Linked DNA regions of Nothobranchius furzeri. The protein of the gene in region 1 purifies or fractionates together with the protein of each later gene. This does not show direct contact. Links are inferred from orthologs where the notes say so. Each region holds a gene or a part of one and is shown in the gene's direction. Other genes may lie near its edges.

Region 1 (3,500 bases):
CTCGCTCGCCCATGCCAAATCACCCCCGCAGAGAGCGAGTTTCTGCACGAAACCGGTCCCCGCTGGCGCGGGACAAGATCAGGGGTTAGTGTGGCGCAGACTGAAGCATCGGCTTCCACTTAGCTGTAAAAGTTTAACTGAGGTTCTAGAACAAAAATGTTCAAGAAAAAGAATTATAAAAATGTGTTAAACACAAATGTTCTGGTCCTGCGTGTGTAATTCACCTCCGTAAGATGCTGACAAACCTGGAAAAGAAGAAACAATCTTTTGTATAGCACCTCTTAAAATAAAAATTACGAGGTTATTTGGAAAAAATGATAATTTTTATTCATTTAAAAATATCTTAAAAACACAAGAACATGAAGAAAATGTATTTATTATTTAAGGTTTTGAACTAAAATGTTTCTGTGCTCTCAGAACGACCATCAAAGAAAGAAGAGCCTTTCAGGGACGATCGCAGGAAACCTGACCCATCTGGGGGCCCGCCCAGAGGAGGGAACCCGGTGCCCCGGTCAGGCCCCGGTACCAGGGGAGGCAACCCTGTACACCCACGACCCGGTAACATGGGCCCTCCTGGAAGCTACGGAGGTTCAGGTTCCCACAAAGACATCAAACTCACCCTCCTCAACAAGGTGACTGCCACGCTGTACTTGTAAACGTTTCAGTCAGATTTTTGCGCTGAAGACAGAAAAATGGCCCCTGAAACGAGACGTAACCTTCAGAGAGGAACAGTCCCAGAGGCTGATGCACAAACTCATGGGCGTAGATTTGGCATGGACGGAAGTGACATGATGTCCCTACCAATATCCAGTGATGACTAAATAGTCCCCACCAATCTCTTGACCGCCTCCGCTAAAACAAACAAGCATGTCGAGTGTCTCGTTACCCTAGAGGTGCAGAAAGGGTTAAATGACGTTCTCTGCTCGAGTCCTACCTCCGTAACGCATAAGGCTGGTGTGATTGGCTGCGCATGTTGTCACGTGACAAGCTACGCCGGTTAGCAGCGCCAAAGCTAGAAGGAAAACATTCAAAATCAAGACTCTTGTGTTTGCAATGTGACGTGACACATAGTGCCAAAAGCGAGTGAGGATGGAGGCATGAGCTATTTTCCAAAGAAACATGTAAGTCACTTAAAGTTACGTTTGCTAAAGAAACGAGTCCATCATAATAACGTTATTGGCACAAACTGTTTTAACTGTAGTGTAAACCACCGTTTTTTTTATAACCTTTAGATTTATAAGTCCCCACCAAACCTACACCAATGCACAAACTAGAGAAGATAAACAAGGCTATTTGTTTTTAGACCTAATGACATCATGGAGAATTTAAAGCCAAATGCAGATGTGAGCAGGCTGCCAGATGAATGCAAAAATACTTTAAGAGTCAAAATTAGCAACACTTTGTGGATCTTTTGATTATGTCTTATTAAGACATCTTCAACACATTTAAATGGATCAAGACTTTTCTTTTTAAAGCTTTTTAAACGTTTAGATGCTCCATATTTACAGTAAACGACAGATTTTATAGTAAAATATCACGATGCATAAGTTAAAGTACCTCCGGTGTTTCTAGCAGTGGCTTTGGTTCAACAATCACCAGTTTACTTCCGCTCCTTGTGACCCAAACCCGCTGTAAGGGTTCCTCCAGCGTAGGCCCACCGGCTCGTCTGTTTTCCACTCTGATCGTTTTGTTTGGACCAAACGGGCGATTCAAACCTTTAAACAGGTGAGCTGGAGCGGAGGTACTAGGTCAAAGGCAGGTTAGCTGTTTGTGCTAAAATCATAAGGATTTCAGCTTCTCTGTTTATATTTACCATCAGAAATACAAGTGAATGCTGGCGCTTATCCCAGCTCCTCGTTTCTCAGCAACAGGGCGACAGAGGCAACAGGAAGCGGTACCTGCCTGCAGATAAAGACCGGCCCAGCCCTCCTCTCAGCAAGAGAATGGCCATGTCTCCAGACAGAGGTGAGATTCTAGACACCCGATCACTGCAGCAACTGCACCCCCTCTTTTTTAAAAGTGCGGGGTCAAAACTTGGTTTGCCTTTTGAGCTAAAGAGAAAAAATGTTATTCCAGCCAATCAGAAAACTGCAAGAAGTCTGTTTATTCGAGTAAGCCTTTGATTTTAAATAGCCGTCTATCTTTTAAGCTTCACTGCCAGGTTTACAGTTCTGTTGGTTCTCACCCGGTCCCTGTGAGCTGTCTGTAAAATGTAAAGGAGACGTGCTATAAAGTAAAAGAATTAAACCAGGGGGAAAGCACGGGCTGCTGAACAAAGCGTTGCTTTCATTTTCACGTAGAAATAACGCATCAAAGCTCCATGTAGTTTATTCTTGTGTGATCCAACATGTAACTTTCAAGAAAAAGGTGACGAAACTGTTTTTATTATCAAGCAGCAAGAAGGTGTTTTCTTTATTTGTCACTTTTCACGTGCGTCAGGTCTTCCCTTTGGTGGTTTTTCTGCTTGTGGTTCGACTCACCGTCTCCTTCCTCTGGTCTGTCCAGCACCAGCTCTAATTGTTATTATTATTATTTCACACTGTGAAAAAATCCTTGGTGGTATGAGGAAGTCAACAATATCTGCAAACGTCACAATATAATGGGCCTGATCATGTGAATTAAACTGCTATTCACTCGTGATCTGTTTTACTGAAGGACCAAACTAAATTTAATCGACTAAACAAATGCTTTTTTCTTCTGATGCAGTGATTTTCAGCGTCTGTAGGGAATGTTAACTATGCCTACTTGAAACTGTAAAATTCACATTTCACACTTTGGATCAGTCAAACTTTATAATTGTTTTACTGTAATTTCCGGACTATAGAGCGCACCTCAATATAAGCCGCCCCAACCAAAAAAAGAAATGTTTTCCACACACACACACGCCGCACTCGAATACAAGCCGTGGCGCAGCAGCCACATGCAGGTCTTCGGCACACAGCGCATGTACGGCCATAACATACGATAGTTAGACAGAAAGACGCTACATGGAGGTTTTTCGTTGTTGTTTTAATTCAACAAAACGAATTTTAAACACGGGTGAACGTGCCTGCAAGTTTATAAAAGAAAACAGCACTGATAGCATTCATATTTCTGGATGTTATAAAATAAAAACAGCACTGACACGTTACTACCGGTCATTTGCATGTTTAGAAGGAAAGAACAGCGCTGACACAGCATTAATAAGCCCTGGATGATTAGAAAATAAAAACTGCACACGAAACATTCCTGGTTAGTAAATAAAACACACTTGCCTACCAGAAAAAGTCTTTCGCTCTCATCTTCCTCCTGCGCACTAAAGCCATTAAAGTCCTCTTCTTCAGTGTCGGAGTGGAACAGCCTCAGAAGAGCTTCGTCACATACCTTTTCTGTGTTGCTGTCATCATCCCCGGGTGAAGCTGGCTTGAATGAGTTCTTCCCGCTGCCGTCTCCAGCGCCAAACCACGGATTCATTCATGCCAAGCTTACGTGCGGCAGCGCTGTTTCCCTCCTTTACTGCC
Region 2 (4,293 bases), on another chromosome or scaffold:
ACAAGTGATTTTTATAATGAAACAAGAGGCATGCTGGAGGCCATGTTGTTATAGGTGATGTTTTGTTTACGAGTTTGAGTTAGAAAAATAAAATGTTGACCTTGTGGTTCCCTTGTAAGTTTGTGCGGTTACTTTTGCGCAGGTCTGTTGTCACAAGTTAAAATGTAAAAGGAAAACAATGGGAGGGATCCAGACAGTAGCCAATGGCACCACATCTTCGTAATTATATAGAAAAGTACACTGACTCACTGACTGTCCTAGCTTCATCCAGCTCTGACCTTCAGCTCTTGCTGGGTAGGTTCACGGCTGAGTGTGAAGCGGCTGGGATGAGGATCAGCACCTCCAAATCTGAGACCATGGTTCTCGACCGGAAAAGGGTGGCTTGCCAACTCCGGGTCGGGGGAGAGGTCCTACCTCAAGTGGAGGAGTTTAAGTATCTCGGGGTCTTGTTCACGAGTGAGGGTAGGAGGGATCGGGAGATCGACAGGCGGATTGGTTCGGCGTCTGCAGTGATGACGCTGAGCCGATCTGTCGTGGTGAAGAGGGAGCTGAGCCAGAAAGCCAGGCTCTCGATTTACCGGTCGATCTACGTCCCAATCCTCACCTATGGTCATGAGCTTTGGGTAATGACCGAAAGAACGAGATCGCGGATACAAGCGGCCGAAATGAGTTTCCTCCGTAGGGTGGCCGGGCTCAGCCTTAGAGATAGGGTGAGGAGCTCGGAGATTCGGGAGGGACTCGGAGTAGAACCGCTGCTCCTCCGGATCGAAAGGAGTCAGTTGAGGTGGTTTGGGCATCTGGTCAGGATGCCTCCTGGACGCCTCCCTGGGGAGGTGTTTCGGGCATGTCCTGCCAGCAGGAGGCCCCCGGGTCGACCCAGGACACGTTGGAGAGGTTACATCTCCAATCTGGTCCGGGAACGCCTTGGGGTCCTGCCGGAGGAGCTGGTGGAGGTGGCCGGGGAGAGGACGGTCTGGAGCTCCCTAGATGGGATGCTGCCCCCGCGACCCGGACCCGGATAAGCGGAGGAAGACGACACTGACTCAATACCCTTGGGTATTTGCTTTCCTAAACATATGTTTATGAAGGAATGATTAGGTTTAGTTAGAAGTTAATCCATTACACCATCTCATTTAGACAAGGCAGTTTTATTTATATTTCAAACAGAAGCAATTAAACGTCCTTTCAGGTCCAAGTAAAACGCCCGAAAACAAAAATTAGCCGACAGAGTAAAACTGTAAGGTTCGTCTTCAGCGTTCAGACATAAATTCTGATTGCTTTACAGCCAGACAGGACGTGGTTTATAAAAAAAAAGAAGCATAAAGATGCAAATGTTTAAATCGAATTTAAGATGTACAAATAAAAATATTTAAAAAAAACTGCAGAAGGTGTTGATGTTGGAAGAAAAAGAATATATATATATATATATATATATAAAATCAGTAATTTGCTAATGAGATTTCTTGCACATATATGGCATTAAAACACTTCTGATGCTGATATAAAAATCCCCATCTCACCCTCCGTGGGTGGTCTCATCCTTCCAACCTTGGGTCCTCTACCAGAGGCTTGGGATCTTGAGGGTTCTGCAGTATATTAGCTGTTCCTAGAACTGCACTTTTCTGGACTGAGAGGTCTGATTGTTTTCCTTGGATCTGCTTTAGCCACTCCTGCAGTTTGGGGGTTATTGCCCTGATGACCATGGGCACCACCGATGTCTTCACTCTCCAGCTTAAGTTCTTCTTTGAGGCCCTGGTACTTTTCTAGTTTCTCGTGCTCCTTTTCCCGGATTTGCATGACTTGGTATCGCCACATCAACCACAACGGCTGATCTCTGTGGTTTGTCCACCACCACAATGTCCGGTTGGTTCACCATCACCATTTTGTCAGTCTGGGTCTGGAAGTCCCACAGGAGCTTGGTTCTCTTGTTCTCTACCACCTTAGGGTCAAAAGGTACGTGCAGTCCAAGTGCACCAAAATACAAGAAATCCTGAAAGTGATGGTCTGGTCCCACAGAGCCTGATCTCAACATCAATCGTGTGTCTAGGATTACAGGAAGAGACAGAAGGATGTGAAGAAGTCCATATCCACCGATGATCTGTGGTTAGTTCTCCAAGATGTTTAGAACCAGCCCAGTTCCTTCAACAAATGTGTGTGTGCACCTAGAACTGATGCTGTTCTAAAGGCAAAAGATGGTCACACCAAATATTGATTTGACTTGATTTAGATTATGTCCATTCACTGCTTTTTTGATTCTTGATAAATGATTAACACTTCCAGTTTTGAAAGCATTCTGCGTTTTTCCCACTAATACACTAAGAAGAAACACACACACAAACAACTACAAAGCTCGGATGAAGGCGAAAACTTAAAAAAAAATTGTAAGCAAACGCAAAATGATCTAATTTAGCGATCCTCCGTGTTTCCTCCCGGATGTATTTAGTGGACGGACAAAATACCCGGAAGTACATCATCCAAACTCGCGTCGTTAGCATTCTGCCTAAGTAGTCATTTATCCAAAATGTCTTCTAAACTAAACGCTTTAACCAGCGATTCTTACACTGAGATTAGTCAATATAGAGATCAACACTTTAAGGTAAGGGAGAAGGTGAATGAATTCGACTTTTGTATGTAAATGTGTTTTTCTCCTGCTCTAAGAGTAGTTTTATGTCATGTTTGTTTTTAGGGTAATCGTTATGAACAGGAGAAGCTGCTAAAGCACAGTAACACTCTGTATGTTGGGAACCTCTCCTTTTACACAACGGAAGAGCAGGTAAGACCTTTAAATAAAGCTAGCTTCGGCTTCCTGAGGACTGCTTTACTTCTTACATTATTCCATGAAAACCTTTCAGAACTTCTAAACGTGGTTATAACCAGCTAAATAATCCGATGTTCAAGATCGATGTAGCTACTACTGAGATCTGATGAATGTTGGCTTATAAAAACTAGACGGTTGTGGCTGGTTTATACTAGATTGAAGGCATATTTCGAATCACTGCTAATATGAACAGGTGCACGAGTTGTTTGCTAAATGTGGAGACGTGAAGCGTATCATCATCGGCCTGGATAAAATCAAGAAGACTGCCTGCGGATTCTGTTTTGTTGAGTATCCTTTTAAACTATTGGTAAATGGCCTGTATCTGTATAGCATCTTCTTAAGGTTCTACAGCCCCCCAAGGTGCTTTACAACACAATTAGTCACCCACCCACACATTCACACGCTGGTGATGATGAGCTACAATGTTGCCACAGCTGCCCTGGGTGCATAGACTGGCACAACCGGTCCTACTGACCACCACCAGCAGACAAGGCAGATTAAAAGTTTCGCCCAAGGACACAACAGCAGCATTCTCTGGCTGGAGCCGGGATCAAACCTACAACCTTCCAATTACTAGACAACCCACTCTACCTCCTGAGGTACTGCTGCTCTATCGTCACCTGATCTAGTAAAGCCAATTGATGCACAAGAAAACAAACCGTTTAAATGTCAACAGTGTTTCTGTCTTGACTGGTCGTGTATTAAAAGGGTAGCATTGATGTGAAAATGAACAGAGTGTGGACCTTAGCTGCGCCTGTACCAGATACTACACACGAGGAGACGCAGAGAACGCCATGCGCTTCGTTAACGGTACCCGGCTGGATGACCGGATCATCAGGACAGACTGGGACGCAGGCTTCAAGGAGGGCAGGCAGTACGGGCGTGGCAAATCTGGAGGACAGGTGAGGTTTACGGTCATTTTGGTTCATAATGTGAACTTGCTTAAAGGCCCAGTGTGTGATATTTTTTACCAGTTTACTATCAAATCCTGTGTTTGCAGTTCACAAACTGCAAACTTATATAGTTATACATTTTATATACATAATCTGTGGTCGAGGCTCCATGGTCATCCACCATCTTAAAATACAGTAGCTGTTTAGGGACATACGAGCTCCACGTTACCGTTTGGACTATGACTGTAACCTGAAAGAACCAGCAGAGGGCAGCAGTGTGCCCTGGAAGCATGAAGTCTGCTAATTCAACTAAGAAATAGAAAAGAATAGCTACACCGTTGCTCTACTTGTTAGTTTGAATTAAAAACAACTAAATCAAAAGACATCAAATTTGTCCATTCCTCGTCATGTCCAACACAAGATCCCCGCCCGCCATTATCTGGAAGCCAGCCTCTGATTAGTGTCTCTGACTCCCAAACTCACCTCAAGTTGTTCATCCATCTTTTCGTAGAACCAGAACTCCCGATCCGGTCCCAACGTGTCTGTACTAAAGTCCTTCTACTCAAGTCTCCTCTCTTCCCG
Region 3 (3,985 bases), on another chromosome or scaffold:
TGCTCAGAAAACCTCACCATGGAGGCATCTAGGAGGCATCCTAATCAGATGCCTGAGCCACCTCAACTGGCTCCTCTACACCGAGCCCCTCCGGATGACTGAACTTCTCACCCTATCTCTAAGTGAGAGCCCAGAAACCCTGCAGAGAAAACTAATTTTGGCTTCTTGTATCTGCAATCTCGTTCTTTTGGTCACTACCCAAAGCTCATGACTAAAGGTGAGGGTAGGAACATAGATCGGCCGGTAAATCGAGAGCTTCGCCTTCTGGCTCAGCTCTCTCTTCACTACGACAGATCGGTACAACGTCCGCATTACTGCAGACACGATCTCATCCCACCTGTAAATCTCACTCGCCATCTTTCCCTCACTCGTGAACAAGACCCTGAGATGTATAAACTCCTCCACTTGGGGCAGGATCTCATCCCTGGACCCAGAGAAGGCATTCTACCCTTTTCTGACTCAGGACCATAGTCTCGGATTTAGAGGAGCTGATGCTCATCCCAGCTGCTTCACATTCGTTTGTGAACTGCTCCAGTGAGAGACGGAGATCACGTTCTGATGAAGCCATCAGGACCATGTCATCTGCAAAAAGCAGAGACCCCATCCTTAGGCCACCAAAATGAATGCCTTCAACACTTTGGCTGTGCCTCGAAATTCTCCATAAAAGTTATGAATAGAATTGGTGACAAAGGGCAGCCTTGGCAGAGTCAACCTCTCACCGGAAACGAACCCGGCCTACTGCTGGCAATGCGGACCAAGCACTGACACCAGTCATATAGGGACCTTACAGCCCCTATCAGAGGGCCTGGTACCCCATACTCCCAAAGTACCCCCACAGGGTCCCCCGAGAGATGCGGTCCAACACCTTGTCTAAATCTACAATTAGTTTAAATCCAGACCCTAAAAGTGAAAGCAACAAAATCAATAAAAGTTGGGAAACAAAACCATAGCAAAAGAAATAATACAAACAATTGATCCAAAATTAAAGAGAACATATTAAATAAATAAACAAAAATGCAAATGTTTCATATCGTTTTTTTAATTTATTTTTCACATTTTAAATGTAGCCCTTTACTCCTAAATAAACTAATCTCTTAGGTCTTTATTATATGCTTTTATCCGCAAACGTTTGTTCGTCGGTCAGTTTTACTCCTGACCACTAGATGGCAATGAATGTTTGAAACTATTTATGAACTGCTTAAGCTGAGAACCAACACGCATGCGCAAAACAATTCTGTCCATCACAGTTTGTCGTTAGATTTGTTTGGGAGAACGTAAGTTTATTTATAATATTTAGCTAGTATTTTGTTGTGCAGTTCGCTGAGCAGTAACGCTAAAACATTGATTAGGCTATATTTAATTTCATTCTGATAGTTTGTTCATTTTGGTAGGTTTAAAACTATCCTTGCATATATGGTAGCACTGTTAGCATTGTCAGAACGACGTCCATCGATGCTAAATGCTAACAGTAAAATGTGCGCGAAAGGATAGTTCAATATAGGGATTTTCTAGTTATGTTATTAAAAATTAAGACGTTTCAACCTAGAATCATGACAAATTGATAAATTGATGAAAGGGGTGTCGGGAAGAAAGTCTTTATGATTTGAGTTATAGATTTAACACATACACGCATACATACATATACAGTCCTGACTAATGTTCACTATTAATACTACATTTAAGGAACTGTGCCGCTCAGATATTCATTCTGGCTGCTGTAACACATAGCGTTACCATTTTATCAGCAATTATATGAAAGTTGTTGAATTTATATTTATGATAGTGTTACTACGTGCATACTGCTTTGTACAGTACTTATAGTTGTGAATGTTTTCTACATTTGAAATAGCATATGTTTCTCAGTTTTATAGGGATGGTAAAAATAAAACACCAGGGGTTCAGTTTTAACTGAACTGGCTTTTTCTGTTTTTTGTTTTGTGTTTATTTGAAGAAATACACGATACATTATGTTTGGTCTGTCCCTTTGATGCTATATGTTTATGTTGTCTTTAGACTGAGTTCATCACTTCAAAAAAATGGATTTCCAGCATCGAGCTGGAGGGAAGACTGGAAGTGGAGGGGTGGCGTCTGCCTCTGAGAGTAACCGGGACAGGCGTGAACGGTTACGTCAGCTGGCTCTAGAGACCATCGACATCAACAAGGACCCCTATTTTATGAAGAATCATTTAGGTTCTTATGAATGCAAACTTTGTTTGACACTTCACAACAATGAGGTGAGGAGGCACTTAACGGATTGGATTGGGCTATGTTAGAATTTTTGATATTTGGGAATTGTGTTTCTAAAGAAAACCCTCTACTTGATTTTAGGGCAGCTACTTGGCTCACACACAGGGAAAGAAGCATCAGACCAATTTGTAAGTCAACCTAAAACATTCTCTAACACAATTAATTGCTACTAGTTCAATATTTGTCAGTAAACATTTTCCTGTATAATTTTTTCTTTCTGAGTTAAATCTTTTCTATTTGGTGTTTTAGAGCACGAAGAGCAGCCAAAGAGGCAAAAGAAGCGCCGGCTCAACCAGCTCCAGCAAAGGTTAAAGTTGAGGTCAAGAAGTTTGTCAAAATCGGTCGACCAGGATACAAAGGTACACTGGCTGCATGGTTCTATATTAGATCAACATTATTTGGCTTTTTGTAACAACTTTTGATCCTCGTCTTTCTCTTTTTTTCACAGTGACAAAACAGAGGGACCCAGAGACTGGTCAGCAGTCTTTACTTTTTCAGGTGAAAATAAAAAATATATTTTAATTCTGGAAAAATCCTGCTGTGTTTCTGGGAATCTGAGACACTTGATAATAGGCTTTATGCTTTATTGTTCGTGTGAAACCAAAGTTAAATGCCATCATATGTTTAGCTCCACTTTAATTATTTTCCAGCCCAATATAACAGTTTTGCTCCCATTGTATGACCCCATTGTGGACACCACTTGAAGATGCGTTGCAGATACAAAACAAACTCCTATAGTTCCTATCAGGGCAATAATAACCAGATGTTACAACATCTGACAAGTTGTTTTTATTTCCCATATTAATCAGATCGACTATCCAGAGGTTGCTGAAGGAATTGGACCCAGGCACCGTTTCATGTCTGCTTATGAGCAGCGTATCGAGCCTCCTGACCGTCGCTGGCAGTACCTGCTGTTTGCTGCTGAACCATATGAAACTATTTCCTTTAAGGTGGATGAAAACTGTAATTTTTGTCATTGTGCTCATGTGTCACATTTCCGTAACATTAAAATGTTTGCTCCTTTAAGGTCCCCAGCAGGGAAATTGATAAAGCAGAAAACCGCTTCTGGACTCACTGGAACAGGGAAACTAAACAGGTACTGACTCTGCTTTGTTTTTACTAAAAAACTAATTTAAAAAATTTTCTAATGTATGAATGTTTTGTTTTCGTTCAGTTTTTCCTGCAGTTCCACTTTAAAATGGAGAAAGCCATTTCTGGTGGTCCAGCTCCTCCTGGCAACTTAAAGCACCCCGCTTCACTTATGAGTGGCCACCCATCAAACGACGGTCTTCCACCTCCACCACCAGGAGGGATGTCTGTTCCTCCTCTGCCACCCGGGGCACCAGGTCCCCCCCAAATGCCCCCACAAATGCCCATGCCCCCCATGCCAATGAGGCCACCTCCCCCAGAGGGCCTTATGCAGTGATAATTTGCTGTTAGAAATTGCATTGGTGGTCAGTTGTTCTGCTCTGCCTGTTTTGTATTTTTAGGATGTTGGATATCTTCAGTAGATTTTCATAACTTTGTTTGCCTAAAAATAAAATTCTAAAGCTAAATGTTATGGAAACATTATCGTCCTCTTGTAAACTAATATCTGGACACATTTTTATTTCTTATGTCCATTTTTTAATTAAAATACACAAATACTGAAAATACCTGAGTGTTTGTTCTACAAAAAATACAGAGAATTATCTGAAGTTTACTCTGATCAGGTTAAAATAAAACAAATCAACAAAAT
Region 4 (4,228 bases), on another chromosome or scaffold:
TTGAAGAAAGGATGTGAAAGCATTGCATTGATGTAAAGATCAGTGGCCACGTTGGTACCACCAACTGTCCCGTTGATGCCTTCTGCTGCTACCCTTACCTACAGAAGATGATTGACATTTTAACTACTTAAATGTTTCTTTAAAATCCTCTATTTTCTGATATGATGTGCTAGAGTCTAGCTGAAAGGGTTTTCTTACCTTGCCGGTTAGGTGAAGTGACTCACACAGAGCTTCCTGCCATGCACAGACAGCATGTGGATCGTCCACTTCACAGTAACAATAATAGAGCAGAACCTTCCCAGGACCACTTCATAAAAACAAGAAATAAACAATCTGCATATGTTGAAATCTGATCAAATCTATAAAGGGGATGGATATAGATATGTATATACTCCATTCTGTTTACTTTTTTAGTTCACCCTCAGGGATGTGGCTGATATCTGGTATCCACATTGAAATGTCCACTGCCTCCGTCTTTTTCCCTTTCAGCTGCTGTGTTTCTGTGTCTTTTTCCAGCTGGCTTAGCAAATGTTCATATGTGGCCTGCGTGAGCTGCTGTATACTAGAATTGTGAGTTTTGGCCACATGTTGGTGAATCTCAGCATGTTCGACGAAGGTCAGGCTACAGCAGCACCAAGATGTGCTTCCTTTTCCTGCACACTCCTTCTTCGATGCTACGAAGGCAGCAAATGACTGTGAAAAGGAAGAAGCACGAATGGCATTTAGTTTAAGTAAATGTGTGCAAAATTCTAAGTTTAATGTGGGATGAAGTTTGTCGCTGCAGGTTATTTTGTTTTTATTTTGATACCTAACATTTGTCAGACATGTAAACAGATAAAATAAATGCTGCATTTACAACTATTTAAATAAACCAGTATTTACATAATATAAGTTCAACTTTATTTATTGAGCGCTTTCACATGCCCAGGAGGACAAACAAAGCGCTGTACACCAATACAAAAACAGCATTCAAATCAGAAATACACAAAAAAGTATACATTATTATTATAACTTAGCTCATCATAAAGCCAACAAACGGTCATTGTTTTTTCCCCACCTTTCTTCTGCAGAAACTGTAGTATCTTCTTTGTGAGGCAGAAAGTTGTCTCTCCTGTTTTAATCCATTACTTGTCGAAAAATCAACATCCAAATTCATGAAGCAGCCGGTTTCAATCGCTTCCATCCTAACGAAGCTGTTAAACACTGCCAGTTAGTCGATTTTTTGTCTAAATTAAATACATTTTAAGACAGTGATCGTGCCTTGCTGTCCTAACATTTATTTGCTGCCATCTTACCAAACATAAACTCTCAAACACGGTGAGGAAAAAAAGGTCACAAACGTGTTTCCGACAATGTCGGACGAAATAGGAGGACGGACTTTTCATTTGACCTCGTGCTGCCCCGGAAGTTCTCCACTTGAATCATACCGCTGTTATTTTTCTGCGGTGGTTTCTGCGTTGCACAGGCTAAATTAACTAAGTATCAGCTAGTTCGTCCGACTTGCTGCTTCGTTTCATATCGGTTTTTTCTTTTGGTTGTCTTGTGTGGATTTTAAAGTGGCCTAATATGTCCCGGAGACGACACAGCGACGAGAATGACGGTAAATCGGCGGAGATTCAGTCACACTTTAGGCTAATAGGCTAACATTAGCGTGTTTTCCTTTCCTTCACCCATGTTGGTTATTTGTTTTGCTAATACACGTGGAGTTTTTGGATAGCTTCCATCAAAATTAAAAAGAGCAAACTCGTTATCAGCTGACATTTGTGCAAAACTAAACAGCGAAGCTGAATGAACAGCGTAAGACAACCGCCAATAACCTATGCTGTTACTGTTAGCTGATTGATGGCTAACTAAACTGATATGGAGGCGGTACCAATGAGTAAAAGATACACAACCTGATAATTGGATCATTTCTGGTAAGTTGTTAAAAGTGTAAAACTGAGTCGGAAATTAATCCTGACACGTCATGTGGTGAGCTAAACTGCTAACAAGCATCATTCTAGAGAAAATATTTGATTTCCAGTGTCTGTCCTATTGATTTTGTTAAAGCAGTGCGTATTCCATTTTTAAACGTTTCTCCCTTTTGCTTGTACAGAAATGTGTTCACAGTTGAACCCATGTATAATATGCAGATGCTGGTAATGGAAAACAAAACATGGAATGAGAAAAATCTTAAATAGTCATGTAACTGCCTAAAAGTATGTGTGAGCTTCAAGTGAATGTTTCAGAAACCTTCCATTGTTGTCAGTTTTATTTAAAGTCCCATTAGTCATCATCGCACACTGGTGAAATTACATCTCTGCATTTGACACATCCTTGTGGGCAGCAGCGAACTGCAGCGATGGCTGCACTTGGGAACTATTTGGTGGTTTAGTCCCCCAATGCAGTCCCTTAAAGCTGAGTGCAGGGAGATATTGGGTCCCATTTTTAAAGTCTTTGGTATGACCCAACCAGATTTGAACCCTGATTTCCTAGTCGCAGGGTGGAGACCCATACCACTAGGCCACTGAGAAGGTTTGTCAAGCAGATAATGTCTCATTGTCAGTATGTCCTCAACAGGTCAAAATAGCAAGGATTAAAAGCCTTGAACTTCACTCTGGAACAGAATAATTGCTAAAGTATTGACATTCTCCTTTTATAATGCTGCTAACAGATTAATTATCTAAAAAGGGGCTCATGTGTTGATGTGAGTTAGGAGAAGAAACTTTCTCATACTCCGTAAACTGTGTTAAAGGAATCAACTTTGATGTGTTGCTCATTCTTTTGCGCAAGTCTTTACGCCTTATCAAGACACTCACACACACACACTTGGCCTGTCATCTTCAATAGATAATACTGTTTTGAACATTAGGATTAGATGTTCTTGTCTACTGAACTAGAGTGAGTCTGAACTCGGACACTTGTCTGCCCCCTGATGCCATGCAAGGACACTGGGTTATGGTGTGGCGATGTCTGTGTCTGGTGACCTTAACAGAGGAATACCTTTATTGGGTTACAATGATGAAGTTGCTAAAAGGCACTGCTTCGATTAAAAAGTGTAAGCTTTTAAACATCAGCTTAATTTCTGTTAATCTAGGTGTTTCTTAGCACAACACAACCTTTATCAAATAAATATGCAAGTGTTTACATGTATTACTCATTTACGCAGATTCTGTTGGTGTTTTCTGTGGTGTCGGTCAGAGTTTATGAACATGTGTTGATTGTGTGACTCTTTTACCCACCAGGAGGTCAAGCTCACAAGAGGAGGAGAACTTCTGAACCTATTGAGATTGAAGATCGTCTGGAATCCCTGATATGTCGTGTTGGGGAGAAAGTAAGAGCAGACAGACAGAGAGATGCTCTGAAATCTCCATCACTTGACTCTGTTGTATTTTGTTATTAACAGAGTACATCATCCCTCGAGAGCAACTTGGAGGGCCTTGCGGGCGTCTTAGAGGCAGATCTTCCAAACTACAAAAACAAAATTCTGCGTATTTTATGTTCTGTGTATGTTTGTATAGGTTATTGCTTTCTGATTAATAAAGAGGCATTCAGAAGGCAGACTTTACTAAAGCACTGTGTGTCAACAGCGCCCGCCTGCTACCTGAGAAGCTTACCGTCTACACAACCTTGGTCGGCCTTCTCAACGCCAGGAACTACAACTTTGGAGGCGAGTTTGTGGAGGCCATGATCAGACAGCTGAAGGAGACCCTGAAAAACAACTTGTACAATGAAGCTGTTTACCTGGTAAAGCTGATTTTCACACAATAAATCTTCACAAAAGGGAGTTTAAAATTCATCATGATGGGTTAATTTTTGGTTTTCAGGTGCGTTTTCTGTCTGACTTGGTCAACTGTCACGTGATTGCTGCTCCTTCTATGGTGGCCATGTTTGAAAACTTTGTGAGTGTTACTCAGGAGGAGGATGTCCCACAGGTAATCAACAGTTTCTGATCAATATGCCTGCTTCTGAGTACTTAAAGATTGTTATAATTGCTTGTACATATTTTATATGAGAACAGTCCTTTGTCTAACGTTTTTATCTTATCTGTTTTTCTTTGGTGTAAAGCTAATTATGTGTCTGTTGCTAATGCCTCTTGCCAGACCCTTGTTGTAAATGAGAATGAGTTCTCAATTGACTCATCTGGTTAAATAAAGATTCAGTAAATAAATAAAGGTAAACGTGAACTTGGGTTATGTCATTCTGATTCAGTTATTTGGGAAACAGATTTGTTCAGAATTGTTAACAG
Region 5 (3,500 bases), about 24 Mb from region 1:
GGATGACACCCACATTTCCAGTAAACTTAACTCCACTCTCCCACCCTCCTCCCTTACCCTCTGCCTCTCAGAAATCAAATCTTGGTTCACGTCTAATTTCCTCAAACTCGGTGGAAATAAAACTGAACTTCTTCTTGTCTGTACCAAATCCACCGTCTCCAAATCGGACAGCTTTTCTTTAACCATTGACAGCGCCACAGTCACCCCATCCCCTCAGGTTAAGAGTATGGGTGTCATTCTCGAAAGCTCACTTTCTTTTCATGCTCACATCAATAACATAACTCGGTCAGCCTATTTCCATATTTGATCCATAAACCGTCTCTGCCCCTCCCTTACCCCTCACACCGCCGCCATTCGTGTCCACAGTCTTCCACCTCGATTACTGCAATTCGTTTCTTTTTGGTCTCCCCTACAACTCCTTCATAAACTTCAACTGGTCCAGAACTCAGCAGCCCGTATTATCACAAGAACCCCTTCCTTTCACCACATCACCCCGGTTCTCCAGCAGCTTTACTGGCTTCCAGTTAAATTCAGGTCCATCTTAAACATTCTCCTCCATATATTTCAGACCTTAAACGTATTACCACCCTCTCCGGTTCCCTCAGATCGTCTTCCTCCCTCCATCTTGCTGTTCTTTCTGCCCGTCTCACTACCACGGGGAGCAGAGCTTTCAGCCGCTCTGCTCCCCGTCTCTGGAACTCACTCCCCCTAGACATCAGAAATATTGACAGTTTCACCCTCTTCTAATCCAGACTCAAGACACACCTGTTCAAATCTGCCTATGACCTCTGATTTTATTTGAATTTAGTTTTTTCTATGTTCTTTTCTTCATTGTGTTTTAATGTTGTTTTAATGTAATTTACTGAATGTATTTTTCCTGTAAAGTGACCTTGGGTGTCCTGAAAGGCGCTTAAATTTTTTTATTATTATTATTATCATTTGATCTGGCTCAGCTCATTGTGTTGTTTTTCTAGCTTCATGAGCCACAGTTAGCTCCCTTCTCCAGGATTTTTTGCATCAAGTCAGCGTCGGTTTTTCAGACATCCCAATTTACAGGAAACATCTTTGATCTATTGCAAGCCGAGTTGTCTTTGATGTATTTGTTTCACTTTTTTTTTCCTTTCCTTACTTCTCCTGTGGAGGCACAGCTTATTAACAGGATTTTCTTCTTTAAGATCTGTGATGGTTTCTCTTTTCTCTCTTTTCTCATCCCCCTTAACCTCATCATAATGATTTCTCTTTTATTCCTGTCACTCGCTATCCCTCTTTCTTCTTTGTTACCGGTGTTTCACCCTTATTCCTTTTTATGGTCTTATTTTGTGTCCTTTTTTTTTCTTTGATTCCACTCTCTTATTTTTATTTTTGGCTCTGTCTGCCTTTCATCCCCCTTCCTTACCTTCTCTGTTTTGGCCTCCTTCCACCCCATCTCCTCCATAGACCACATAGCCCACATCATAGAGCTGCTGGGCTGTATTCCGAGGCACTTTGCACTCTCTGGAAAATATTCCCGGGAGTTCTTCAACAGAAGAGGTAGCGCTGGCCGTAGAGCTGGTGGGGCTGAAACACAAAGATGTCTTAGAGGGACAATAATGGAAATGAGCAGACTGTTTACGTTTGGTCCCAATGGATAAACTGGATTAAACTTTAAGAAAAATGGAACAAATTCACCCCCCAAGTCTGCGAGAGTGTCCAGGCTGAGCCTCAAGCCATCTGTGTGTCAGCCCCGTGCAGCCAGTGTATGTGTGTGTGTAGATGTGTGTGCATGCTGTAATGTGCCTGTTCCCATTGTGATGTATGTGACTGGTGGGCAGACCACATCGCTCTGATCACGGAGCTCCTTGGGAAGGTCCCACGCAAAGTGGTTGCTGCCGGGAAGTACAGCCGAGAGTTTTTCTCCAAGAAAGGTAAACAGAACCAGAGTCCGTGGCTGCTTGGTGGGTTCGCTGTTGGCCTCATTCTGAGGAATGTTCTGGTGACAGAACCTAGACTATGTAATCGGTTTCTGTAAAGTTTGTTCCTCGTTAAGCATCAAGAAATGTTCAGGTGAGTATTTCTTTAAAGTCTCTTTCTGGAGTATTTCCCTTATCCGATGGCACCATCTAGTGGCTGACAAGCATATCACACAAATAATTTCTCCTTCCGTTTTATTAAAATGGCGACTTCACGTTTCTTGTTTATTTATGTCCTTCTGTTGCTGACAATCAGAGCTAAAACACGATGTTTTACAAGAATTATTCTCATGTCATGTTGTTCTCCTATATTTATACTTAAGAGACTTTCTTGTCCGTGAAAAGTTCATCAACTGTGCATCAGCCAAGGTATTTCTTAAATTTCAAGCACGTAAGCGGTAGTTTAACACTATTGGTCAGTTCTGGTCGGCACGGAAAGTCATACATAATTTCTGAACGGGGAAACTCCAGAAAGACACTTTAAACGGCTGAAATGGATACAAGGCTTTTGGACATCTTTTGTTTACAGAGACATTACATTGGTGTTGTCTCATGATGATATGAAGGTTTTTCTATTGGGGGGGGGGGGGGGGTTTCAGTTCGCTAGAATGTATGGGGGGTGGGGTGTGCACGCAGGGTTTGCCAAAAAGTTGATTTGGGGGTGACTTGTTTAAGAGGCATGAAAAACTGTTTAAAGCTAATTTGTTTTCCAAATTTACCATTCAGCTTTAATTAGAGTTCAACTCAGCTGGTAAAGTCTGCAGAACTGTGATGGCAGTAACACCTATAGGGGGCTGAAAATCATCAGCTTTATTTTTATATCACCAGTTCGCATCACAAGTGGTCTCAAGCATTCCAGTTGAACCCGCTGATTAAACAGTTTAGTTCATTATTCCAGTTAGTTAAAGGTTTTCTAAGGAACCCAGCAAATTGCATCGAGTCGCTGACTAGTGTCAGTGACTTTACAGCAATCCTTATACTAAGCAAGCATGTGGCGACAGTGGAGAGGAAAATGCCCTTTTAACAGGGATAAACCTCCAACAGATCCTGGATCAAGCAGTTGTCTGCCACGACTGAGAAAACAAAGCACACTTAAAAAAATCACCAGATGAACTGTGGTAGGAGTATTTTCTATGTTAAAGAAAATAAAAGCTAAAAACGTCTACAGAGAGGCTGCTCTGTCATCATTTTACTTTATGAAAGAAAAACATCCTAAAACTTCTCCTGAAAACAAATAAACAAGTTTTAAACTGTTATTCTGTCTGATGACTTTAGAGGCATGAAAACAAAAACACATTGGACTCTTATGGTTACCGGTCTTATTGAGTTAAATAGGAAAACAAAGCACACTTGTTTAGGTTACTGCTGATCTTTGGGGCTTTCTTATTACCGGATGAAAATCGCCCATGGGGAAAAGACAGAACTCATCATTTGCTGGTCTCACCTAGAAGACAAGTACAGTAGTTTTGTCAAGAATTGTTAAATAAAATGAAATTTGTAGAATTTATAATGTGAAAATGTGATTTTTGAGTTGAGGTTGTTCTAATCTGT
Region 6 (3,935 bases), on another chromosome or scaffold:
CATGTAAAAATTATTTTCCAGCTCATGATCTAACCAGTTCGGCTGATGAACAGTAAAGTTGATTGTTTTTTATTGGCCACAACAAATATGAATAAAAACAAATTTAAAGCAGGAGACTTAGTTAAAATATCACATTATTGTCTCTGGAATCCCATATTTGTAGAAATTAGATTTATTAGATAATCCACCTTGCCAATATAAATTTAATGTAACATAACATATTATTTGTTTTGACATAGCTAAAATGTTAAACTCTAGAACTCCAAATATAATGAAGATACTAGTAATGGCAAGTAAAATAATTCAAATGTATGTTTAATTGCAGATATACGATAAAGTCAACATTTTGTTTTATCTATTTAGCATAGTTTATTTTTACTATTCAGCTTCTACACATTCAAACTATAACATTTATTTTACTTTACTTTTTTCTGATGGTCGTACACGATCCAGCTCTCCACACTTCCAAAATTATTTTAAAATTGTTTGATGGTTTAATTCATACATTCGTTGACATACTGGAAAATTCTGTGCCCATCTTGTCTCCTCAAATATTGATTTGGCGTTTAGTCTTCTTGAAATCATCTTTTAATAGTAAATTCGTTTATGATAACATTGTCTACTTTGAAACAAACACGTAGCTATTTTGAACGTTTTTCAGCTGATATGCAGGAAAAACAGCCGGTGAGACAATATAAAGTTAAATAACGTCGTATGCACATCACTGGGCATAGTGAGTAATGTCTCAGTCTGTCCCTCACAGAAAACAGACACAACTGGTTCTCAAAAACTCAGAAACTCCCAAAAAGTCTTGATGGTAGATTTTAAACCATGAAACAAAAATGGTGAAAAAACCAAATAATTATAGAATAATGAAACTTTTGAATAATGTTACGAGATTCCCGTATTTTAAATAATTTTAGGAATATTAATTGTATAAAAACATTTTCATTGTGACATTTATTGCAGTCTTTATGAAGAAAATATTTAAATGTCCCGTAACTTAAAAGTAAGTGCAAACAGACTGAAGAGCACTAGTCAGGTGCGGTGATTCATTTCGTGTATTAATTTTATTTTCTGGTCCCCCCCCCCCCCCCCCCCCCCCCCCCACACACACACACACACACACACACACATTTCTGGCTGATGGAGGAGCTCCGTCTCGGTTAACTTCCGGGTGATGTTTACCGCAGAACTGCTGGATGTGCCTCCACCACCACCGCCACCCATCAGTCAGAGTCAATCAATCAGACACATTATCAATCACCTCGGACCTGCTGGGCTTACATCACCGCGCGGACATCAAAGTTAACCCGCGAGCCAACGACCATTGATGACGTTTTCTGCGCTCCAGCTTCCGACGACGAGGTTAGCCGGCTAACTTTAGCCTCCGAAATGACGACGCTGATAATTATTGCGGTTAATTCGTGTTTCGTATGCAAGAAGATGTGAATTCAGACGGTAAATGTCTTTGTGATTCCACATTTTTGAGGCAGAGTTTGTATTTTAAAGTTGTATAAACTAAACAGGTAATCGTTACTCGTTAGCTTAGTTAGCATCAGTTGAATTTCTAACAGAGGATGTTACCTAATCTTCCTGACAGTTACAACTGGTCCATCTAGTTAGCTTGTGGAGTAGCCCGTTGTTCACATCCTTCATAGCCGTTTGAGGGAATTAAATGTGTATTTGAGAGGAGAAGCTCTTCAGAACCAGAACATAGCGGTGATGGAGCATGAACGGGCCTAGAGGAGAGGAATCTGTAGACAGCAAATATATCAGACTTCCAGAGCTACACGTTACTTTAGAGAAGTATACACCGATTTAAGAAAGGTGTGAATAAGCTCAAACGACTGCTAAGACATACATGGTGACGGGAAGTTTTAATATGTCGGAAAAAATTATGATAGACTTAAAACGGCTACGAAAGAAACGTTGAATTATAGGAAACGGATCAGGTAAAGATCAACATCACAAAACAAGTGAAACACGATCTGATCAAATAAAACATCTTTTATATATTTTATTGTACATAGTAGTTGAAAAAAATGTGGATTTTTGAGCCCATATCTACACAACCAAAGTCTTTAGGGATTTTCAGAGAACAGGGCAAGGCAGTTTTATTTATTTGGTACATTTCACACACAGAGGCGGTTCAATGTGCTTGCCAACTAACAAGAATAACAAGAACATTAAAATCAATACGACATCACAATTATAATACACACAAATTCAATTTAGATTTAAAAATGAAAGAAGAAAGCAGTTACAGTGCAGAATGTGCAGTGTTATATAAACAGCCATTCAAAGGCTGATGAAAACATGAAAGTTTTCCATTTTCATTTAAAAGTTACATGAGTTGAGTTGGGGCACATTTGAGGTCATAAGCAAGCTGATTTATTCTGTGTGCAGCATTGTAGCTAAAAGCAGCGTCACCCTGTTTGGTTCTGACCCAGGGTTTTACCAGCTGCCTGTTTACTAAGGATCTCAGAGCCCTGCTGGGTTTATGTACCTGAAGGAGGTCCGACATGCATTCTGACCCCATGCCATTGAGTGATTTTTAAACTAATAGAATCACTTTGAAATTGATTCTGTAGTTTACTGGTAACCAGTGAAGAGATTAAGGAACAGGAGTGATGTGTTTCGCTTCTCTTGGTTCTTGTTAAGGCTCTAGCAGCAGCATTCTGAATAAGCTGCAGTTGATTCACAGCTTTCACAGATCATTTTAAATGTAAAATTGTTAAATTTTAGAAATATTTTTCTAAAAATTTCTTGAGAATTGATCTGCAATAATTTGTTCTAAAGGCAAATGAAAAGTCCAAAGTTGTAACTTATTTTGTCTAATTGTTTAATGATTATTTATTTTTACTAACTTTGCACATTTGCATGCAGCTGCACACTTGATACTTTTGTTGTTTTTAGACCATTTTTATACCAGTTATATGCAGATAACAGCCAAGTCGGTAATAAAAAAATAACTTCCAGGTTTTTCTGCTCTTTTCTTTTTTTCCCAACAGCTGGCGGTTCTTCATCCCATCCTGTCTAACATCCGTCTCAGGGGCTTCACTCAGTCAATAATTGTAGCTTTGTCGGTCTGCACAGCCACCCCTGTGGACCAGGTCAGTGCTTTTCACCAGAGAGCACAAGCAGCCAATGCCAATGGTAAACACAACACAGGGATCTTAGAGCCTCAAACTCAGTACAGCCGCTGCGCTGCCTTCCAGTATCGCGACAACAAGTATTCTGAGGAAGGGGGAGTTTCCCGACACGGAGCGTCGAAGCTCGCGATGCCCGGATCCTCGCCGGCCAGCAGCAAGGCTCGGGTGTACACCGATGTCAACACACAGAAGAACAGAGAGTATTGGGACTATGACGCACACATGCCAAACTGGAGGTACAGAATATCTTACTACAGTTACCATCAGCATAATCAAACAGCTTTTTATTCACACTTAAAATATTTTTCTCTTTTCAGCAACCAAGACAACTACCAGCTGGTGCGCAAACTGGGCAGAGGGAAGTACAGTGAAGTATTTGAGGCCATAAATGTAACAAACAATGAGAAAGTTGTGGTGAAAATCCTCAAGGTGAGATGTCTTGACTTCCCAGCAGTCCATCCTGTAACAAATGTCATGTATGTAGGTTTATTTGTCTTACACAATTGTCTGAGTAATCCATTTTCATGTTCTGAGGTCACGGACAAAGTGCTTAGACTTTATTTTTCCTTGTATGTAGCTTTTTTGAGTGGATCTTTGTACCTCCTTTCATCCTCAGCCCGTCAAGAAGAAGAAGATCAAACGGGAAATAAAAATTCTTGAAAACCTGCGAGGTGGAACCAACATCATCCGCCTGATTGACAACGTCAAAGACCCAGTGGTGAGTCTGAAACACGCTGTGGCTGTTTTGCATGTCGGCGTGTCAGCCGCGTTAATCCGGTC
Region 7 (4,248 bases), on another chromosome or scaffold:
ACCGAGCAGCTGTTGAAGGTTAGCACCCAAACGTGAGCACCCAAACATATGAATGTTTTAGTCATGTTCACAACATTGTACAATGTTTTGTTAGGCGGTGCGGCACAAGTCTAATTTACTGGATTACAAACTAAACTTGGAAAATTAATTTGCATTTGTGTGTTTTTTATGAACCAATGTCAAAACCAGAACCATTCATCACTCTGCACAGGTGTTGCTTGCTCGGGGATGCAGCTGAATACCTGATCGTACATGAGCTGCCGATGGAGTAAATCATACATGAGCTGATGGAGTAAGTTGGAGGAGTCGGGTTGTGATGATGAAGTGGTGAACCAGGAGGCCTCAGCCTCTTTCAGGGTCTGGTTAAACGCTCCAGCTCAGCGGGCCTGTGTGACCTGCGCACCGCGCCGCTGGTATGTGGGCTACCTGTCTGAGCCCCACAAAGGGGCAACACCGGAGTCTTTCTGTTTTTACTTTTAGGCACTCAGTGAGTATTATGGTCTGTCACCAGAGGACTTCACTTCAGCTCCCCTAGAGACCATCAGACTGTTTTTTTTTTTTTTACCTTTTTGTCTATTTAGGTGTTGCATATTATGGGATGTATGCTGCCACTGCTGGAGTATTATGGTCTGTCATGGAGAGCGGGAGGGGGGTGTCACCATGACAACGGGGTTGCTAAGGGGGGGGGGTGGGACTACTAGTGGAAAGGGGAAGGAGTGTGCATGCTATGAGTCTAGTGCACGCATGTCTAGCACCTAGCACTGGCAGTGTACGCGTGTGCGCGCGAATGGTGAAGGGGGGTGGGGGCAGGCTGAGTATTATGGTCTGTCCGTTGCGAGGTAACTATGCAGAGTCCTGTGCGAGTGTGGGAGGGGGGTGGATTATTATGGGATGCCTGTCCCCTTTGTGTGTTTGTGAGGATGTTAGCTAAGCGCTGCCTGTTAAGGTAGGGGGGAAGGAGAAGTGGGGGACGGAGCCGCGTGTTTCGGGTCATTAAGACAAGAACTGCTTGTTACTGCTAACACCACACAGGGATTAATGAATGGACACCAAAGGCCGACAACAGGAGCGGGAACAGTTTAATTTGTGTTGATTCTCGCACCGAGGGAGAACTCACCTCACGCCGGGACTACACGCGCAGTACAGTAAGTTTCCAGTGTGTGACGGTGGAAATTTCAAAGCTTAAACTTTTCTCTAGTGACAAGACGGCTCGCGTTTGCGGTTCCTTTTGAGGCTGTCGTTGAAAGCCACACTTTACTCCCGTGTGGGGCTCTCTACCTGTAAATCAGCTAATGTTAATGTCAAAGCGGGTAAAATCTTTTTAATTTAACTTGCTTGAGAGGACAGGTGGATAATTGGACGGCATGTAAATAACAAACAAGGAAGTTTCGTGCCTGTGCAATGTATTGTTATTTTTATTTATTTTTTTCTCTTGCACCCAGACCCCCCCCCCCCCCGCCTCCTCTCCCTTCCTGGACACCCCCGGTCCATTATCCACCAGTCCCACGTCATTTTCCCTCCTCCCTCGCTGACCGAGGAGCAAGGTTTACGGAGGATTTATTCGGACACCAAGAATTCAAATAGAAACGCTGGGAACATGTCTTGCAGCGAGGATGAGAGGGAGGACTTTGGAGCCGATGACGAGCACTCACTTCTTCACGGTAAGCTCGCCTGCTTTCCTCCCCTCCTGAAGAAGGTCCATCTCTGTGTAACTTGAGCTCGCCTTCAACGCGATGCTAGCGTTAGCCCAAGCTAGCGAGGAGTAGTCGGCTCGGGTCACTCGCCATGATAGATTAGTTAGCTAACTTGGACAGCAGAGTGTTCGGAGTTTTGTTTTTATTTTTTAATTTGTTTTCGTGTAACCCAGCCCACCAGCGTGTCCTCGCCACGGTGGGCGTGAACTGTCAAAGTTTCAACTACAAGTTTCAACCTGCTGTTGTGGCATTTACGCTGTGTATGTGTGCGCGCGTGCTCGGACATTTGCCAGTCGTGCCACGGCGCGCGCGCGGTCTCCTTGTTTTTGTTTTTTTTCTTCCCTCCCCTCTGGTCTGCAGCAGCGGTGCTTTCTGTCCGTCTGTACTCTGCCGGTAACCGTGTCTCTTTACAGACGAGGACGAGCCGGAGGATGCTGTCTCTGACGCAGAAGAGGCACCCAAGTCAAAGAAGAAGAAGAAAGCCAAAAAGAGCAACCGGGAGAGCAGGAGCAGCAAGAGGCAGAGACCCATCCGGGAGGCGAGTTTACCGCTCTGATAAAGTTTTATACATCCAAATAAGCTCTTTTATAAGTTTAGGCCAAAGGTCAAGGTACTGTAGAAGGCATTTAGTCTGTTAAAACTCTATATTTAATACAAAAATAACAAAAATATGTTAAGCTATACAAAGTTATGATGGTGAGCCCCCCCCCCTACACATTCTGCTGTGTTTTATTTTTTGTCACACTTAAATGTTGTAAATAACATTTCAGTGTCAGACAAACGGTCTAATGTCTCAATCATGCTTGAAGGAAGGTTACATTGACACAGATTTTCTAATCAGGCAGCTGGGGGCTGTTAGTTTTTCTCCATTTGACATGGACAAAGAGGGAATTAGTCTTTTTTTTAAATGTGTGAGCCCAGAGCCGGCACAAGGTGACTGCTTGGGGTCCCCAAACAGCACCCAGATGACTTGAAATAATGTTTTAATAACTTTAAATAATACAAATGTGACAGTGTGTGTCCTGTCACAGTGTCCTGATTGATCATGCGCCCTGGCTACTTGGCCAGTGGGATGTCCCTTTGGCTGACTGGTTAGAGCGTATGACTCTCACCCGGGAGTCTGAGGATCGAATCCCGCCTGGGCCCTCGTTTCTCCACCGTGCCACACAAAGTAAATAATGCTAATCCCAGAAAAATAATTAAATATTACTTTCTGTTAACTCATTCACTGCCAGTGACGGCAAAAGACGTCATTTGCATGTTTTTACTGTGTGGGCGTCGGAACGAGCCCCCGCACCGTGAGAACAAACATCTCAGCTCTAAAGCCGATCTTTATCCGCATACGTCACACGTCACATGATCAGGAAGCAGCAAATCCATGTGGTAGGAGATCGTTTTGGGCCGCTGCTGTAAAAAAAAGTGAGGCGCGAACCGGAAAAGCTTCTGCCGATCACAAGTCAACAACGGATTATGAAAGAACGGATAACGCTCAAAACGCGCGGATTCTTCCTGATGTAAGAGGTGAGTTGGTAGTTTTGGCGTCGACATCACCCTAGGGCGCAACATTCTCTGACTCTTTAAAAAAAACTGTAAAAACGGTGAGAAACGCTGGCAGCAAAGGAGTTAAGGATGCACGTTTTCCAAAATGTCTTTAACCGGCTATTGGTGCCCCTTAACAGTTGATAGCCGGTTTATCAGAAACCCTAACTTTAACCAATATATTTGAAATATGTTTATTAATATACCACATTTAAACAACACTGCATTGGGAAATGCTAAAGTAAGCATTTTTGTTGATTCATTACTCCTGTAAAGTTAAAATTAATAGCCATCAAAACACTGATGTGATGTGATCTGTCAGTTTGCCCCAGGACAGCTGTGGCTACATCGTAGCTCATCCCCACCAGCGTGTGTATGGGTGAATGAATGACTGTGTTGTGAAGTGCCTTGGGGGGTTGTAGAGCCCTAAGAAGGCGCTTCGCAAATACAAGCCATTTTTTAAAAATCGTAAGCTGCTTACAAATTATGCTAATGATAGGATGGTACACACATAGTGTGGCCTAGGAATGATGAATCATCTGCTGTTGACTTGTTGGTATGAAGGCCTCCAAGGAAATCCTGCTCAGGGCCCCACAAAGGCTTGGGCAGGTCCTGTGTGAGCCCACGGGGAAGCAGAGTCTGTACTGGCATTTGTTATTCAACACTGGCCGGCAAAAACTCCAGAGTTTGTGATGGGATATTAGCCAGTAAACAGGAGCAACCCAGAAGTTATTTGTTGTACTGCTGAAGCCCGGACTACACTGCATTTTTTGGCCTTCCTAGACAAATCCCTCATTGTGAAGAGAATTGTAACAAAAAATGGTCAGTGTGAGGGTGATTTGCAAGTCTGTGGCCGTCCAGTGTAACCGGCTCTGCAACAGCTTAATGAGCATTCTTACAAAGTCAGCTTGCAGCAGTTTTCAAGCTTTGCTTCAACCTCATCTGTGCCCCAGACAAGCTAGTTCCCAAAGTCAGAGACTCTCTTGGTCAGCTTGCTTCTCACACCAAACCTTCT

What was found.
Region 2: the proteins of zc3h18 (region 1) and ncbp2 purify together in Homo sapiens (co-immunoprecipitation; 3 studies listed by BioGRID and IntAct, with this or other methods). This does not show direct contact. The link is inferred for Nothobranchius furzeri from reciprocal best matches to the Homo sapiens genes ZC3H18 and NCBP2.
Region 3: the proteins of zc3h18 (region 1) and sf3a2 purify together in Homo sapiens (affinity purification with mass spectrometry; 3 studies listed by BioGRID and IntAct, with this or other methods). This does not show direct contact. The link is inferred for Nothobranchius furzeri from reciprocal best matches to the Homo sapiens genes ZC3H18 and SF3A2.
Region 4: the proteins of zc3h18 (region 1) and nuclear cap-binding protein subunit 1 purify together in Homo sapiens (co-immunoprecipitation; 3 studies listed by BioGRID and IntAct, with this or other methods). This does not show direct contact. The link is inferred for Nothobranchius furzeri from reciprocal best matches to the Homo sapiens genes ZC3H18 and NCBP1.
Region 5: the proteins of zc3h18 (region 1) and srpk2 purify together in Homo sapiens (affinity purification with mass spectrometry; 3 studies listed by BioGRID and IntAct, with this or other methods). This does not show direct contact. The link is inferred for Nothobranchius furzeri from reciprocal best matches to the Homo sapiens genes ZC3H18 and SRPK2.
Region 6: the proteins of zc3h18 (region 1) and casein kinase II subunit alpha' purify together in Homo sapiens (affinity purification with mass spectrometry; 3 studies listed by BioGRID and IntAct, with this or other methods). This does not show direct contact. The link is inferred for Nothobranchius furzeri from reciprocal best matches to the Homo sapiens genes ZC3H18 and CSNK2A2.
Region 7: the proteins of zc3h18 (region 1) and chd4b purify together in Homo sapiens (affinity purification with mass spectrometry; 3 studies listed by BioGRID). This does not show direct contact. The link is inferred for Nothobranchius furzeri from reciprocal best matches to the Homo sapiens genes ZC3H18 and CHD4.

What each region holds. Positions count from the first base shown.
Region 1 is NC_091744.1:81,886,523-81,890,022, reverse strand, and holds part of zc3h18 (zinc finger CCCH domain-containing protein 18), read left to right. Parts: coding exon 1-84; intron 85-417; coding exon 418-632; intron 633-1,865; coding exon 1,866-1,965; intron 1,966-3,500.
Region 2 is NC_091748.1:71,743,112-71,747,404, forward strand, and holds the start of ncbp2 (nuclear cap-binding protein subunit 2), read left to right. Parts: upstream 1-1,493; 5' UTR 1,494-2,521; coding exon 2,522-2,596; intron 2,597-2,686; coding exon 2,687-2,773; intron 2,774-3,011; coding exon 3,012-3,106; intron 3,107-3,581; coding exon 3,582-3,720; intron 3,721-4,293. UniProt on the Homo sapiens protein: Component of the cap-binding complex (CBC), which binds co-transcriptionally to the 5' cap of pre-mRNAs and is involved in various processes such as pre-mRNA splicing, translation regulation, nonsense-mediated mRNA decay, RNA-mediated gene silencing (RNAi) by microRNAs (miRNAs) and mRNA export.
Region 3 is NC_091751.1:56,891,866-56,895,850, forward strand, and holds sf3a2 (splicing factor 3A subunit 2), read left to right. Parts: upstream 1-1,185; 5' UTR 1,186-1,274; intron 1,275-2,013; 5' UTR 2,014-2,036; coding exon 2,037-2,234; intron 2,235-2,328; coding exon 2,329-2,375; intron 2,376-2,496; coding exon 2,497-2,606; intron 2,607-2,695; coding exon 2,696-2,745; intron 2,746-3,056; coding exon 3,057-3,197; intron 3,198-3,274; coding exon 3,275-3,343; intron 3,344-3,421; coding exon 3,422-3,673; 3' UTR 3,674-3,900; downstream 3,901-3,985. UniProt on the Homo sapiens protein: Component of the 17S U2 SnRNP complex of the spliceosome, a large ribonucleoprotein complex that removes introns from transcribed pre-mRNAs.
Region 4 is NC_091741.1:71,547,690-71,551,917, reverse strand, and holds the start of nuclear cap-binding protein subunit 1, read left to right. Parts: upstream 1-1,428; 5' UTR 1,429-1,566; coding exon 1,567-1,600; intron 1,601-3,224; coding exon 3,225-3,313; intron 3,314-3,385; coding exon 3,386-3,486; intron 3,487-3,569; coding exon 3,570-3,726; intron 3,727-3,806; coding exon 3,807-3,914; intron 3,915-4,228. Other genes in the region: thiosulfate sulfurtransferase/rhodanese-like domain-containing protein 2, read right to left, coding at 1-98, 199-307, 407-693, 1,058-1,183. UniProt on the Homo sapiens protein: Component of the cap-binding complex (CBC), which binds cotranscriptionally to the 5'-cap of pre-mRNAs and is involved in various processes such as pre-mRNA splicing, translation regulation, nonsense-mediated mRNA decay, RNA-mediated gene silencing (RNAi) by microRNAs (miRNAs) and mRNA export.
Region 5 is NC_091744.1:58,271,275-58,274,774, reverse strand, and holds part of srpk2 (SRSF protein kinase 2), read left to right. Parts: intron 1-1,437; coding exon 1,438-1,530; intron 1,531-1,811; coding exon 1,812-1,904; intron 1,905-3,500. UniProt on the Homo sapiens protein: Serine/arginine-rich protein-specific kinase which specifically phosphorylates its substrates at serine residues located in regions rich in arginine/serine dipeptides, known as RS domains and is involved in the phosphorylation of SR splicing factors and the regulation of splicing.
Region 6 is NC_091749.1:31,588,393-31,592,327, reverse strand, and holds the start of casein kinase II subunit alpha', read left to right. Parts: upstream 1-1,135; 5' UTR 1,136-1,461; intron 1,462-3,014; 5' UTR 3,015-3,116; exon of another isoform or gene 3,117-3,221; 5' UTR 3,222-3,284; coding exon 3,285-3,391; intron 3,392-3,472; coding exon 3,473-3,584; intron 3,585-3,771; coding exon 3,772-3,873; intron 3,874-3,935.
Region 7 is NC_091745.1:74,032,285-74,036,532, reverse strand, and holds the start of chd4b (chromodomain-helicase-DNA-binding protein 4), read left to right. Parts: upstream 1-1,448; 5' UTR 1,449-1,597; coding exon 1,598-1,661; intron 1,662-2,107; coding exon 2,108-2,232; intron 2,233-4,248. UniProt on the Homo sapiens protein: ATP-dependent chromatin-remodeling factor that binds and distorts nucleosomal DNA. Acts as a component of the histone deacetylase NuRD complex which participates in the remodeling of chromatin.